Tamandua tetradactyla: one gene and its partner. The protein of the gene in region 1 purifies or fractionates together with the protein of each later gene. This does not show direct contact. Links are inferred from orthologs where the notes say so. Each region holds a gene or a part of one and is shown in the gene's direction. Other genes may lie near its edges.

The links.
Region 2: the proteins of PTPN3 (region 1) and SHKBP1 purify together in Homo sapiens (affinity purification with mass spectrometry; 4 studies listed by BioGRID and IntAct, with this or other methods). This does not show direct contact. The link is inferred for Tamandua tetradactyla from reciprocal best matches to the Homo sapiens genes PTPN3 and SHKBP1.

Annotation. Positions count from the first base shown.
Region 1 is NC_135328.1:28,458,144-28,465,355, reverse strand, and holds the start of PTPN3 (tyrosine-protein phosphatase non-receptor type 3), read left to right. Parts: upstream 1-4,136; 5' UTR 4,137-4,394; coding exon 4,395-4,608; intron 4,609-7,141; exon of another isoform or gene 7,142-7,172; intron 7,173-7,212.
Region 2 is NC_135342.1:23,558,909-23,566,990, reverse strand, and holds the start of SHKBP1 (SH3KBP1-binding protein 1), read left to right. Parts: upstream 1-5,059; 5' UTR 5,060-5,334; coding exon 5,335-5,495; intron 5,496-5,762; coding exon 5,763-5,816; intron 5,817-5,933; coding exon 5,934-5,979; intron 5,980-6,086; coding exon 6,087-6,160; intron 6,161-6,491; coding exon 6,492-6,550; intron 6,551-6,768; coding exon 6,769-6,849; intron 6,850-7,767; coding exon 7,768-7,929; intron 7,930-8,003; coding exon 8,004-8,082. Other genes in the region: SPTBN4 (spectrin beta chain, non-erythrocytic 4), read left to right, coding at 264-333, 966-1,258, 2,374-2,547, 2,702-2,744, 3,980-4,138.

The DNA of each region.
Region 1 (7,212 bases):
TGTTTTAAACAGCTTAGTCAGTGGTGAAAATACGCTACCAGATAAGGGCCATAAAATATGTGAAATCTGAGGAAGACTTGAGCAAACACAAAGGAAGGGACCATGAACCATGGAGCAGATGATGATGAGCTTCAAGTCAAGAGTTTGATATTGGGGAGATTTCCAGAAAAGCCAGGGAGGAAAGTACATTCCAGGAACCATTTGCTGCATATACAGAGGGAGGGTAACTGAAACAGCCTCAGTGTGTTTAGAAATGACAAGGAGTTGGGTGTGGCTGTAATGTAGGAGAGTGGCAAGTTGCTAAAGCTAGGGAGGTGGAACTGGGACAGGTACAGATTGTCTTACATACTGTGCCAGGAGTTTAGCTTACAGGAAACCAAGATCATGCCCTGGATCTCATTGGGTTAGCTTTGTGGAGGACACCTCTGGAAGTAGCATGATGGAAGGACTGAAGACTTCTCTCACAAAATCCCCTCCCAGGATCTTAGCACCGATCACAACAGGACATGTCCAAATTTTCCTGTTCCTTTTTCTTCCCAGCAGCATCAGCAGAGATCCTGGTTGCCTATCCCAATATCCATTTCCTGTCTCTTGCATAATGATAGAATTCCCAGCTATTAGCAGAGCACAAAACCCCTTGGAATATATTGTCCAGTCTCCTTCATAGCTTGAACTAAGTTCCAGCTGTGAAATGTAAATGGAAGTTGGTGGCAGTTTTCTGAAATCATAAAAAACAGCTTGAGCATGCCTTCACTCTCTTTCTTCTTTCATCCCTTCCTCCCTCCTGTTGGAAACAAATGCTGATGTTTTGGTTGGAACCTGAGTCATCAACTTGGACAAACAAGACGGTGGAGAAAGAAAAGCAAGCCTGGGACCCCAGTGATTGTGGCGCTGCCATAACAGCCTTGACTTCTGACCTCTGAACTGTTTAAATAATAAAGAAATGACCTGTTATATTTAGGTTGGTATCATTTTGAGTTTTCTGTCACTTGTAGCCAAAAAGGAAAGGAAGCAGGCTTTTTTTTTAGGAGAGTTGTTATTTTCTATTTTTCCTTTTATTTTGCATGTATTTTCATCCCTCAGTGTTTCTGCCTTTGGGAAGTAACAGTTCATTTCTATGCAGTTCAGAGAACAGAGCTCTCCCGTGAAGCAGTTAACTCAGGTGCACCTGGAGAAGTTTACCAGCTGTCTCCTCCCACTGCATTCTCACATTCTCAGTCCAACTGGTTTTAAGTGTCTCCTTTGTGATATCATATTGGTTTCATAAGGGCTGCCTTAATTGCCTTTAAGAGCAAAGTTTAGACAGAATTGGCTTGAGAATTACATTTATCCCTTCATTCATTCATTCACTATTTATTAAGCATTTACTATGTGCCAGGCACTGCAATAACTATGTTCCCAATAAGTAAAGGAATGGCTCTGTTGGGTTCCGTGCAGGCCAGCCCATTTGAGGAACAACACATTCCATTGGAGAGAAAAGGTCATGTTTGAGAGGGATCTTGACAAACTTGAGCATAGCCACAGAAAACTAGGATGGTAGAAGTCTGGGTTCCTCCTTAATTCCACTTAAAAATAATAATAATAAGGCATAAAGGTAAGGGGAATTCAGCCTATGACAGATGCCCTATTTTTGGTCTAACCAGAATCCTGTGCCTCCTTATTCTGGAAACACATTCTCCTGCTTGAGGGAGGACCTGCTCCTTCCCATTCCTTGTAATTCTGGTGGGGATCTCAAGTGCAATACTCTCGCATCCAGGTGCAGGAACAGATGCATGACCCAAGCTAAACCAAGTGCAGCCCTTTTGTCTTTTTCCCCTTAGATTGTGAGTTAAAAGATGTGATTGCAGAGATGGTGCTACTTGTAATCCCCATCTATGTGGAAGAGCTTAAACAATGAAGCAAACACAAGCAGAGGCCAGCTGAGAGTAGGAAGTGCTTGGGTTAATTAGTCATGGGAATAGCTCTGTAATTGGCTTACGGGAAGCAATAAAGGTACTTTTTTTTATTTACCTGGTTTGGAATGGGTTTTCGGCCACTTGCAGAAGAATCTTGAAAAATGTATGCCATGTTCCCATATGCTAAAATCTACCTTGCAAAGGAGGAGAATTAGTCATTCATATAGGTCCAAAAAGCTAAACCTGGATCCAAGAGCTGAAGTTTCCAGGAGGCAGACTCAGGCTCAATAGGAGTTCTTTCTAACAATCGAAATGTTGTTAAAATAACCTAAGAAAAAGATGATTGGCACATGGGCAGGTCATTGGAACAAGTCACGTTTTTACTCCTCTAAAGCTCAATAAGCTTACTGTTAGAAAGGGGAAGGAAGTCAACCCTATTTCCTATAGTCTATTGGATAAATTTTATTATTTTGTCACTAAGAAAATAAAGGAAGAGGAGGAAATACACTCAAATAAATGGATTTAAAGTGACAATTAAAAGTTTACTACTGGGTGGGTCACGGTGGCTCAGTGGCAGAGTTCTCACCTGCCATGCAGGAGACCCAGGTTCATCTCCCGGTGCCTGCCCGAGCAAAATAAAAAATAAAAAAGTTCACTACTGCATCTATCCATCTACCCATCCCTCCACTCAACAAACATCTATTGAATTTTTACTCTTTGCTGGGTTTTGTACTAAGTACTGTGTGTAACCATGAATTGGGTCCCATTTTTAACCTCTAAGAATACTGAGGTCTTCAGAGGGAGGCAGATAAACAGTCAAGACAATAATTCACAGAGTAAGAGGTGCTGGGACAAAAGTATGTGACTTACTCAATGACTCAATAAAGGAAGTAGGAAGGACAGTGGGGATGGGGATATGTTAGAAATAGCTCTGGAGTAGAGGTGATACTTGAGCTGGATAATAAAGACGTGCTGGCCATGCAAAAGGCAGATGGGGTGGGGGTGGAAGATGAGGGCAAAGGGCACCAAGACATGAACGATTGTTGGCCTTCAACGCACGGTAAGTGGTAAGTGTTGCTAAAATGGGAAAGAGTGAGGTCAGGGATTCAACAGTACTCCATGTAACTAGATGAGGGAGCAGGGTCTTCTGAAGAATTGTGATCAGAAGACTCTAACCTCAATTTAAGTTTTAGAAAAATCATGCTAACAATAGTAGAGGTTGGATTTGGAGAGGACACGTTCTTAAGCATCACAATCGGATCTCTGTTTTTCATCAGATATATCTAATGTTTAAATATCTTGATGAACACCAAAGAGTTCAAAGACTCAGAGTCAGAAGAACAAAAGTCCACGCTCTCCCACCCTGGCCATGAAGTTTGGTTCTGAGGCCTTTAGAGAGTCACTTAACCACTTTGAGCCTCAGTTCCCTCATCTGTAAAATGGGGATAATAACCCAACACAAAAGGTTATTATGAAGATAGAATGAAATAAATTACACTAAAGCACCTTGTAAACTTCACAGAGACATACAAATACACAGATCTGTTGTTTTGTCCTGTACAAAGACTGGTTTTTGTCCTAGTGTTATTATAGCCAGATAAAATTTACAATAGTTGCTTAATGTCCATGAATTATAACCAGGGTAGAGCATTTGGAGGTGACAAGGTTTTTTTGACAAGACAAGGTGGGCTGAGAACTGGATGGAGAGGGCTGGACCTGGGAGTTCAAACAGACCCAGGTGACAGAGGATCACTGATTTCTAGGGAGAGGTTAGACATTTGAGTCCAAACCAGAAGTCCAGTCCAAAATAGAAGGGAGAGGCAGGAAGTGAATTCCACAAGCCAAAGTTCAAACTAAGTCCAAGCTCCAGGTTCCCATCTATTCAGGAGAAAGAAGTGATCAGTAGAGGTCCAAGAGGAAACTATAAGAAGAGATCTTAGCCACTGAGTTAGGTGGTATGAAAAGAGTTTAACAGCTAATAACAAGGACCTTCTTCTGCAAACACTTGTGTTTGTTCATTCAACAAACATACATTGAGTACCTTTTAAGCTCCAGGAATACAAAGTTGAATAAGTTAAGCAACTTGTAATCCAATGAGGAAGCCAGACATGCAAGCAATAATTCTAATACAGCCTGGAAAGAGGAGCAACGTCAGGAAACACATCAGGAAAGAGTTTTTGTTTTCAGAGCACAGAGGAAGGCCACTGATCTGGCTACACCATGTTGGGGACATTTCTGGAAGGGGTGATTAGGAGTTCACCAGGTGAGCCAGATACAGTCAGGGATGAAGGTATTTCAGGCAGCAAGGACAGTGTGAACAACAGCAGGGAAACAAGAATAGGATATACAAGCAGGTATAAATTGTCGTGGTATAAACCAGGAACAGGAGTTGGGTGGGACGTCTATAGGTAATAGGAGAGGAAGCTAGAGAAGCTGGCAAGAGAGCTGCCTGTGCTAGTCCAGGAAAGCTGGGACTTCATCCTGAAGGCAACAGGAGCCATGGAAACACTTACACAGGTGAGTAATAGGACAGGAAGTGGATTGCTGAGAGTTGCTATGACAGAGGAAACAAAGCAAGGGACCTGGACACTGAGAACATGGGGACCAAGAAGATATGGAGAAACAAGGCAAGAAGCCCTACAGGACTGGGGTTCTGCAGTTAGAACAACTCTAGCTTCCCGATGGATCTGGATACCGAGCCCTTCAGCTGACGGTCAGTAGTTCTAACGTGGAGGACTTGAATGAGCTGAGGCAGGCAGCTGTCCCCTGAGACTAGAGCCAAAGGAGGGAATATATCTGAGCCTGCACTAGTCAAAAATTATTTCACTAGACAGACATAGTTTCTACCTGCCCTAATTTAATTTGTTTTATTACTTCAATTAACTTTTTCTTTTTTTTACCTACTGGATGCTGGGCTTTGGTTTGGCATTTTATATACATAGATAGATAGATTTTTTAATACTTAATTTTTGCAACCACACTGAGTTCTATTTACAAAGAAAGGGAGGTTAAGTCTTCCAAACCGATGAGCTTTGTCCAGGAATAGAACCATGTTGTGTCTAGTTACAAAGGCCACCATGAAACAGTTGTGCTGAGAGGAACTTTCATTCTGCATAAGAAAAAATGGGAAAGGGAAAACTATAATGGCAGGCAGCAAGAGTTTATGTCAGAAACCATAAATTTCTGGTGGTCTCAATCAGCAAGGTTGGGTACAGGATTCAGCAGCCAGATTCAGGCACAAAGACGGCCAAGAATGGGAATGAACCCATGTCGGGCTTTTGCTAAGTCCCCTACAGAGGAATCACACAAGCTGAAAATAATGGCGAGAGAGTAATTGAAGTGAGAGAACTTGGGGTTTAGCTAGCTAGAAAAAGGAGTCACGACGGGGGCATTATTTTGTGGTGTGCTGAAGGTATGGATGTGCACCATGTCAGAAGGTCTGGGTAGTGCCGTGTGTGCTTTGTGACTGGTGTGTGCTGTCACACTTGTCAGTGTGTGTGTCAGTGTACTGGGTAGTGTACAGACTGTGTGGTACATGGTGGAAAGGTGCAGTATGTAGTGTGTGAGTGCTGCAGGGCATGTATTTGTGTGTGAGGTGTGAGGAGCGTATGGAGAGTCTGTGTGCTTGTGCGCTGTTTGTTTGTGTTTGTGTGTGGTTTATCTTTGCAGGGAATGGGGCATGGTGATGATGTCCCTAGATGGGAGATGGTGGCATCTGCTTGGGACTGTGTATGCATAAGTGTGTAGTTTGGAGTGTGTGTAGAGGATACAGTAAATCATGTGTGTCTTTCTATGTGAGAGTGTGTGATGTTTGTGTAGAAGCGAGAGATGTGTAGCTGAGCAACTAAGAATGAACTTTATAACGCTGATACACAATGACTTGAATTGGGGAAAAATGTTTTAGGTTTGGTTTTTTTTTCACTCTTGTTTTTTTATGTTGTGCTTTGTTTAACCATAAATAATTTCTCTCCAGGAGAAGAGACTCTGCCTCACCTACCTAATCCCTTTATTCTGGGAGGTGAGGCCTGTTTGTTGTGTAGCTGTTGGTCAGACACCCACTCACTCTTCTCCTTGGGGGTGAGCGGTGGTCCAAATGAAAATGTTGGGACTGAAATGGTAAATATTGTCAGGTAAAGGCGTTTGGATGTACCTCTAAAAGTTAAACATAGACTATCATATATATGATCCAGCAATTCCACTCCTAGGTATTTATCCCAAAGAACTAAAAACCGGCACTCAAACAAATTCATGTACACACATGTTCATAGAAGCACTATTCATGATAGCCAAAAGACGGAAATAGCCCACATGTCCATCAAGAGAAGGATGGATCAACAAATGTGTTATATCCATATACAGTGGCTATTGTTCAGTTGTACAAAAGAATGAAGCGCAGATGCATGCTACAGCATGGATGACTCTAGAAAACGTTATGCTAAGGGAAAGAAGCCAGACACAAAATATCACCTATTGCCTTACTCCATTTATATGAAATATCCAGAAAAAGTAACTACCTTTTCAGAACAGGTAATTGCCTTAGCGACAGAATGCAGCCTGATGGTTGCCAGGAGGTGGGAGGAGAGGGGAGTGGAGAGAAACTGCTTAATGGACAAGGGGGTTAATTTTGGAGCGATGGAAATGTTTTGTAACTAGATAGAGCTGATGGTTGCACAGCATTGTGAGTGTACGAAATGTCACTGAATTGTTCACTTTAAAATGGTTAATTTCATGTCATGTAAATTTCACCCCAGTACAATTAAAAAAAAAAAAAAGAATATTTAGAAAAGATGGAAATCCTGCATCTCGGGCTAGGGGCTTCTCAGAGACTGAATTTAAATCATCAAAAATTTCCTCTAGGGTGCCCGGGTGGTTTAGTGATACAAATGCTCGCCTTTCATGCGGGTTCGATTCCTGGACCATGCACCTCCAAAAAAAAAAAAAAAAAATGTCCTCTGGTGATGCCAGAGAGAAGGTCGCTGGGAGTCCTACGACTCAAAGGCAAGAAGATAAAAGAGGAGAGAGCCCCAGGAGATATTGTGAAAGGGCATGGCCAGTGGGATTTAGGGACTCTGATGACAGGTCACTGATCATGTTTCTAATTACAAAGAAATTGTCATTTTAATTTCTTTGGGTTGGTCTCTCAGCTTTATAAGGTTTACGGAGTGCTAAGCCCAGAATCAGCGAGGCTCTGGAGAATGAAGAGCAGGCGAGTGCCCAGCCTTGGGGTGAGATCCCATGGGAAGAGGTCAGAAGCGAGCAGCAGAGCAATTAGAAATTGTGAGTAAGGTCTAAATTTATATTTATTGTCAGAGGAACA
Region 2 (8,082 bases), on another chromosome or scaffold:
TGAAAAAAGGCAGTGAAGGTAGTTTGCATTTTGTTCTCTGTGCTGCTTAAAACTCAAAGCGGAGATGTGCAGTCCTCCATTCAGCAGACATGTCCCAGGCCTCTGCAGTGTGTAAGGCTGGCATCTGTGAGACCGCTGCAGAAGTGGACACGGGCTGCACATTCCAGGCTAATACGTGCAGGAGGCTCCTTGGTTAGCCAGGTTGGACACCCAGAAGACACCCAATTCCATCGTGTCTTTCTCCCTGCCCACTCCCTCTCCAGGAAGGCCACGCTGGCTGACATTGTGGAACAGCTGCAGGAGAAAGAGGCGGGTCCAGGGCTCCCTGTTGGGGTAAGTTGGGTCTTGGGATAGGTGAGGGCACAGGGGCCTTCTCAGGGCAGGGGTCAGTGCCCCACATGGACCCTGCTGAGACACCACAGACTCCAAAGGATAGTGAAGGCCCTTAGAAGCCCCCCACAATCTGACTTCTCCCTTAGAAAGATGCCCTCCTTCCCTGCCTGACCTGAGATGCAGAGACACTCTCCCAGACCTGAACAAACAGGCTCACCAGACTTTTCTTACAACTATGCTGGACTCCGTATTTCTCCACAGCCCAGTGGGGTCCCAAACTTCCTAACAGACAAATGGGCCGGGTAGCGGTGTGGGGAGTCCTGACATTCCCTCCTCCCACCTACACACACAGAAGGAAACCCCAGATTCCTGCTAAACACAGCTCCCATAGATCAGCCTCCTCCAGACAGGCGCTCCTCCCGGTGCACCTTATCTTCCCGATAAAGGGGGATTCCAACTCTATGAATCCTGACAGACTCACTCCCGAGACGAGTGGGGCCCCGAGGATTTGGCCTTCTAGCCCTGAGGTCCCCCCAGGCTCCCCTCCAAGACAGACGAACCGCAGATAGAGGGGATCCGCGGGCTCATGAACCTCCCTTGGACAGCACGCCTTTCCCCCTCCTTTCACACAGCCGTCGCTGCCTCAGCCTCGCGAGCTTCCCCCCGGCCGCCTGCCCAACGGGCTTGAGCCGCCCGAGCGGACACCTCGGCCGGACAGGCCGCGGGCGCGGGACCGGCCCAAACCGCGACGGCGGCCACGGCCGCGAGAGGGTGGTGAGGGCGGGGGAAGCCGGCGCTCGCGCTCGGCCCCGGCCCAGGGAGGCTCCGCCCCTGCGCCACCGCCCCCACCCACTCACACCGTGCAGCACGAGGGCTTCCTGCTGCGCAAGCGCGAACTCGACGCCAATCGCAAATCGTCCAACCGGTGAGCGGGCTGGGCGGGGCTTTGTAAGGCGGGACCAAGGGCAGGCCGAGTAGGTCGGCCTGAGGAGGGGCGGGGTCCAGCTTCCGGCCGTCCAACCGGTGGGGAGGTGGGCGGGGCTGAGGAGGGACGGGGCTCAACTTCAAGGAATTCGCTAAGGCGGAGTAGTGGGCCTAAATTTAGCGCACCCAATGGGAGAGTTGCACCTGAGCAAAAGGTTCCGGTCGTGGATAAATTGTGGCCCAATCTCAAAAACAACCAGCCCTGGAGTTGGCTAGGCTAAGTGACAAAATGGGGGTGAGGCCTAGCCAGCAGGTTCCAATGGCATGTGAGGTGGAGCCTGGAGAGGTTATCCCACCAGCGAGTGGGGTGGCTCCAGCCCTGAAGTTTCTAATTAGGGGAAGATCTGAAAAAAGGCGGGGCGTCCAATAGGTGAGCTGGATGAGAGGCAAATGGAGGGCTCCACCTCGGGCCCACGGTATAACAGTATAACAGTGTACCTTTGGAGTCCAGCTCCTTGTCCTCTAACCCCCTTTTGTCCAACTGGGAGACAGCTGGACAAGAGAAGTGGGTCCAAAAAAGGGAAGCCCTGGCCACCTAGTGGAGTGGGATTTAGAGGCAAGATGCCAAGTGGGCAAGACTGCTTGAGATTTTGCTGGCGGGAACTGGGGGTAGTCTTTCCTCCTTGTCCCTGAGCCAAGGAGGGGATAAATAGGGCCACCTCAGTGTAATTTGCTCTTGGGGGATTTCCTCTTGGGTTGGGGATGGGGGTGGGTGGGGAGACAGAAATGCCTCTTTCTGTATAGCAGACTAATAGGTCTTCCTTCATGGAACTCTGGGGGTGGAGGAGGAGTATTATAATAAGGTTGTTTTGGGGCCAGGGAACTGGCCTGAGTAAACTTTTAGGAGGAGAAGGCTTAAATCTTGCCCTCAGGAAATTCAGTATGAGAGGGAGGGCCAGCCAGGGCCAGTCGCTCCTCTCAGCTCTAGGAACAGCCAAAAGGAAAAGCACCCCGACATAGGGCTCAGCTTTGGCATGTTCAGCCCAGGAAGGGTGTTAGTGAAGCACACTCAGGCAGTGCTGGAGCTCTGCCTTGAGCCCTGTCTCATTGCCCCAGGTCATGGGTGAGCCTGTACTGCGTGCTCAGCAAGGGGGAGCTGGGCTTCTACAAGGACTCCAAGGGCCCGGCATCGGGGGGCACACATGGCGGGGAGCCACTGCTCAGTCTGCACAAGGCCACCAGTGAGGTGGCCAGTGACTACAAGAAAAAGAAGCATGTCTTCAAGCTCCAGTGAGCCCCCCCCCCAATGGACAGGGGATGGGAGGGCATCCGAGGCCCAGCTTCCCCCTTCCAGTAGTATCCTGGGTCTCCTGTAGGATGGGTGGTGGGTGAGTAGTCCGTGCCCCTGCCCCAGGTCCCCCAATTCCTGTGTCCCCTACTGCAGGACCCAGGATGGCAGCGAGTTTTTGCTCCAGGCTAAAGACGAGGTGAGATCTGGACCTTTCCCTCCCCTATGTGGGCTTCAGGAATGACCTAGCTGGCTCCTGGGCCAAGTGATGGGACTGTGATAGGAGAAGCACAAGCCAGAGCTACAAGAGCTGCGATGGGGAAGCCCATGGGCTATGAAATGGGTTAGAGGAGGTTCCTGACCCAGCCTGGGGTGGGAGGGGGTTGGGGGTAGGAAAGAAGATGGGAGACGGGGAAGACTGCCTGGAGGCCCTCAGTCCAACGCCTTCCCTTGGCCCCAAGATGCAACTAGAAAGACAAGAGGAGTCAGCTAAAAAGGAGTTGCAGGGGTGAGCCAGGCAGAAAGACCTGCAAGTGCAAAGGACCAGAGGTATGGAATTACAAAAGTTTAACTGTGCTGGAGGACAGAGTTCAAGAAGGAAGGCTCCAGAAACATTCTTATAGGGTGGCCAGATCTCGCAAGATGTTGTTGCCATTTGGAGGTTGGACTTGTCCCGGAAGCACTGGAGAGCCACGGCAGGGCTTTGAGCCAAGGAGGGCTACAGTAATGCATAAGAAAAGGTCTCTCTGGCTGCTACTTGCAGGGAAGGTAGGAGGAGGCGAGGGTGGAGGTCAGGAGCCCAGGATGCAGCCAGCATAGGGTCCCAAGTGGAAGAGGAGACAGCTGGATGGGACAGGCCTGTGGGGAGGGGAGAGGGTAGCACAAGAAACAAGAATCTGAGTGGATCTCCGCAGGAGTTCAGAATTCCTGGGGGTGTGTGTGTGTGAAGGAACAGGCATAGATCTGGCTTGAAGAGATGATGTGAACAGAAACATTTATCACATTCAGTCCTCACAGGAGGCTATGAAGCAGGCCTTATTTTACTTATCTGTACAATGCAGATAAAAAATAATTCCTCATTATAGGGTCATTGTGAGAATTAAATGAATGGATACATGTAGACCACTTGGCACATGCCTAGTAAATCTAAGTGTTGTCTGCCACTGTATCACCTTGGGTTTTCTGTTATCTCCATATGGGAATTATTATAATAATACCTGTTGCAGGTATTTAGGATTAAGCAATTTAATCCACCAAGTACTTAGAAAAGAGCTTTGCATATATATGGTGACTGCTCTGTAATTGCATTATTATCATCATCCCATTTAACAGATGAGAAAACAGGTTCAGAGAGAGCAGTCTGATTCCAGACTTATCTACTACTGGAGCTCCTCTCCTCCCAATATCGACCCAGTTATCCATTTCTCCCCCTAGGAGGAGATGAATGGCTGGCTGGACGCAGTGGCCACATCGGTGGCCGAACATGCCGAGATTGCGCGCTGGGGCCAGACACTACCCACCACGTCCTCCACAGACGAGGGCAACCCCAGGCGAGAGGCTGGGGAACGCAGGGCCAGCGGGCGCCGAAAGTGACTCCCCAGCCCCGGGGCCTGATGTGTCTCCCTCCCTCTCCTCTCTGCATCGTGGGCACAAAGACTCTTTCTCTTGCGCCTGGGTCTGGAACCCCTAGTTCCAACACTGCGGATGTGGATGCGGCATGACGGGCGCTGGCAAGGAGGGGACTTATCCTGCCCCTATAGCCATATCTCGGCCCCTTCCCGCTCGCCACCCCCACCCCAGGTGCTGGGGCTCTATTATTTTTATGCAATAACTGAGCTTGGGGGGGGGGCGGGGAGGGGGGCCAGTTGAGCCAAGCCCCCTGCCCCGACCCCCAGATCTTGCCTCAAGGAGCTGGAGTTGGGGGGCAGTCATTCCTGCCCCCCCCTCTGCCCTAGGGGTGGGAACGGGGGGGGGCGCTGGTGAGGTCCCCTGGACCGTCCAGGGTGCTAGGGGGTGGGGAGGGGGCACCCCCTCCCCACCTTTACCTCACTTCCAAAGCTGCCTTGATCTTTGTCTGGGAGGGGGGAGTGAAGGGGGCCCTAGCTCCTGCACTCTGCTGCCTCAGAGCCATGCGGTTAATTCCTTATTTTTTTTTGCAAAACGTCGACCTCCTCCTCTCCCACCCCGTATCCTGAAGGCTTTAAATGGGAGGGGTGTCAAAGCTCAAAACTGTCTTCCTCTCTCCTCCCCCCTCCAGCTCTAAATGCCCCATCATGAGGGGAGGGGCGAGGGGGGGCTCTCCCCCTGCATGCTTCTGGCTGGAGCACCTCCTGGGGGGCGGGGGGGGGGACCAGGGTCGTGAGTAAACCGCATGGCCCCCAGGAGAAGTCACTGGGGCGCGGGGGTGTGGGGCGGTGTGGCTGGCGCACACTGTACCTATAATAAACCCTTTGGCTTTGACGGTCTCTGCTGGTTTGTCCGCGTTTCCTGGGCAACAGGGGAGGAATGGGGCGAGGGCTGTGGGAGGGACCGTGATGCTATGTCTCCCGTGATAAGGATTAATTTCAGGGTCTCCGACGGATCACCTAAATGCTATACCTAAAACGGGGACCCTGGGAGGGGAAGAGAGAATGTTTTGTTATTCTTCAGCAACTGAACTTCCCTCAGGAAGCCGCCCTGCCCGCCCCGTCCAGGCCAGGAAAGGCGGGCCCCTTTAAGGAGGCTGAGCTATTAGCTGCGATTAAGTTACGTCCTGCCCAATCACCGCGCCTCCGGGAGCCACCGGCCCAATGTACACGCGGAGGGGGCGGAGTCCGGACGCACACCCGGAAGCGGGCGTAGGCCGGCCGGCTCGTCCGGGGGCCATGGCAGCAGCAAGTACTGCTGCTGAGGGGGCCCCGCGTCGGGCATCTCTCGGAGAGGTGATTCATTTGAACGTGGGAGGCAAGAGGTGAGTGTGTGTGTGTGTGGGGGGTCGTCCTGAAGCCCCACCTCGAGGGCGGGGGGGCGGGGTGGGAGTGCCCGCCTCTCCAGGGGGGAATCCCTGTCCATCAATGATTGCTCCGCCCCACTGCTGGAGGCGCGAGAGGCTGGAAAAGCTTCCGGGAAGCGGCGGGAAGCTTCCCCTATCCTAGGGGAGGGGGCCCTGCATCTCTGCTCCTCCCACTGTCATCTCACGCGGCCGCTCACTCTCCCACCTCCCCACTCCCGTTCCCAGATTCAGTACCTCCCGCCAGACCCTCACCTGGATCCCAGACTCCTTCTTCTCCAGGTGATGGGGAGAGCGAGTTTGGGAGGAGTTGGGGGGAAGCGAAGGAAGGGGGTGGGGAGACCTAACACCCCTCCCCGCTCCAGCCCATGACACCTGCTCTGCGTCCCCTCCCTGCAGTCTTCTGAGCGGGCGCATCTCCACTCTAAAAGATGAGACTGGAGCGGTGAGTCGAATAAGGGATGGAATGGGACAGTCGGTAAGGAAGCGGGGCAGGACCCCCGACTCAGCCCTGCTCGTTGCCTCGCCCATCAGCTGCCTCCTCTCCCGCAGATCTTTATCGACAGGGACCCCACCGTCTTTGCCCCCATCCTCAACTTCCTGCGCACCAAAGAGTTGGACCCGAGGTTAGCATGGAGGGGAAGGGGAAGGGGTACCCTACTGTCTCCATTTCCTAAAAAGTCTTTTCTCTTCCTCAGAATTTTCACTTAAGTTTGACCCTAGTAGAATTCTCGTTTAGAACCTCAGTGATCTTGACATTGTATTTCCCACAACACCAACCCCACATTTTTGGTGCTCATATCTTCTCGGCTTAGAATCTCTATCCTGTCAGAATTCTCTGCTCCTAGGGATTCTCTGCGCAGTTTTGAAAACTTCCTTCTCAGCATTCTCTGCTTGCCCCCACTCCCACCCTCCTCATCCCCCAGACTTTGACACTTAGTCAATTCTACTACCCAGGGGTGTCCACGGTTCCAGCCTCCTCCATGAAGCCCAGTTCTATGGGCTCACTCCTCTGGGTAAGTAAGGCCCCAACTAGCATCCTCATCCACACCGAAAGGCAGCCAGCGATTCTCTCTAAATCCTCCCGGGCCCTCTTCCCACTCCCTTGTCATAGAGGGTTGGGTTAGAGCTGATCGCACTGGATTAGGCCCCGAGTCTGAGTGGAATGATGGAGGAAGAGTTGGGAATGGGGAAAGGGGTGTGCCTCAGTACCCCTCAAGTTGTTCCCTCTCAGTTCGCCGCCTGCAGCTGCGGGAGGAGCTGGATCGATCTTCCTGTGGAAACGTCCTCTTCAACGGTTACCTGCCCCCACCAGGTGGGCATGCCTAAGGATGGGGGTGTGTGGATTAAAGACTACATTTCCCATAAGGTCTCAGCCCTTGAATGGCTGTGCTGTGAGCCCTGTGACCTGATGGGAATTGTAGTTTTGATAGGGTTGGCTGCTTGGAGAGGAAATAGGAAATTGCATTTTCCATGAGGCAGGGGGCCAGCTAGTCCTTCCTGAGGCTCAGAAGCAGGCCCAGGGGCCCGATGGGAGTTATAGTCCAGGTGTGATTTCTTGGTGGGCTGGCTTAGGAGGAACTGGGGTCCTTCGTATGGAGGAGAGAAAAAGTAAAGGGTCATTATTGACTATAAACCCCACGAGATCCTGGAGCAGCCAGCCCACTGATCGTGGAAAATATGGCCCAGGGGTTATTGGGAACTGTAGTCCACTGGGCTCTGTTGCTTTGTAGAAGGAACAGAGTGGGGCAATTGCAACTTACAGCTTTCTTTTATCAACCTCAGTCATGACCTACTACCTTCATGAAATTTGCCAAATATAAAGACCTAGAGTATTATTTCTTAATTTAGTTTTACTTGCTTTTTTTTAAAGGTGTTTTAAATGGAAACTTTGTATCACTACCTATCTACCATAAATATAAAGTAAATATGAAAATAAAAACTACACATGACAGTGTTAATAAACTCTGCCTTAGCCTGGGGGTTGCTGTCCATTGACTAAAAGGGAAGATTAGCAGATATTGAAGAGGCATTAATATCACAGCAACACTACACAGAGTCTTCCTATGTGAGCAGTGCTGAGTACCACATCCATCCTGTCTAAAGCCTTTTCTCCAGGGACTGGGCTGCACACCTGGGGAAATCAGCATCTGACATATTCTGAGTGCTTGCTATGTGGTAGCATTAATGACAATGGCTGTCACTCTGCCTCTTCTCCCCCTGCCCCCGTTAGTGTTCCCGGTGAAGCGGCGAAACCGGCACAGCCTGGTGGGGCCCCAGCAGGCGGGAGGACGCCCAGCCCCTGTTCGACGGAGCAACACGATGCCCCCCAACCTGGGCAACGCAGGGCTGCTAGGCCGCATGTTAGAGGAGAAAGCCCCCCCTGCCCCCTCAGGTATGTTTCTGTCTGTGGCCACCGGCGGGTCCCTGTGGCCCTATACCCTGATCCCTACACTCCCCCCACCCCAGGGCTGCCGGAGGAGCCCGGCATGGTGCGCCTGGTGTGTGGACACCACAACTGGATCGCTGTGGCCTACACCCAGTTTCT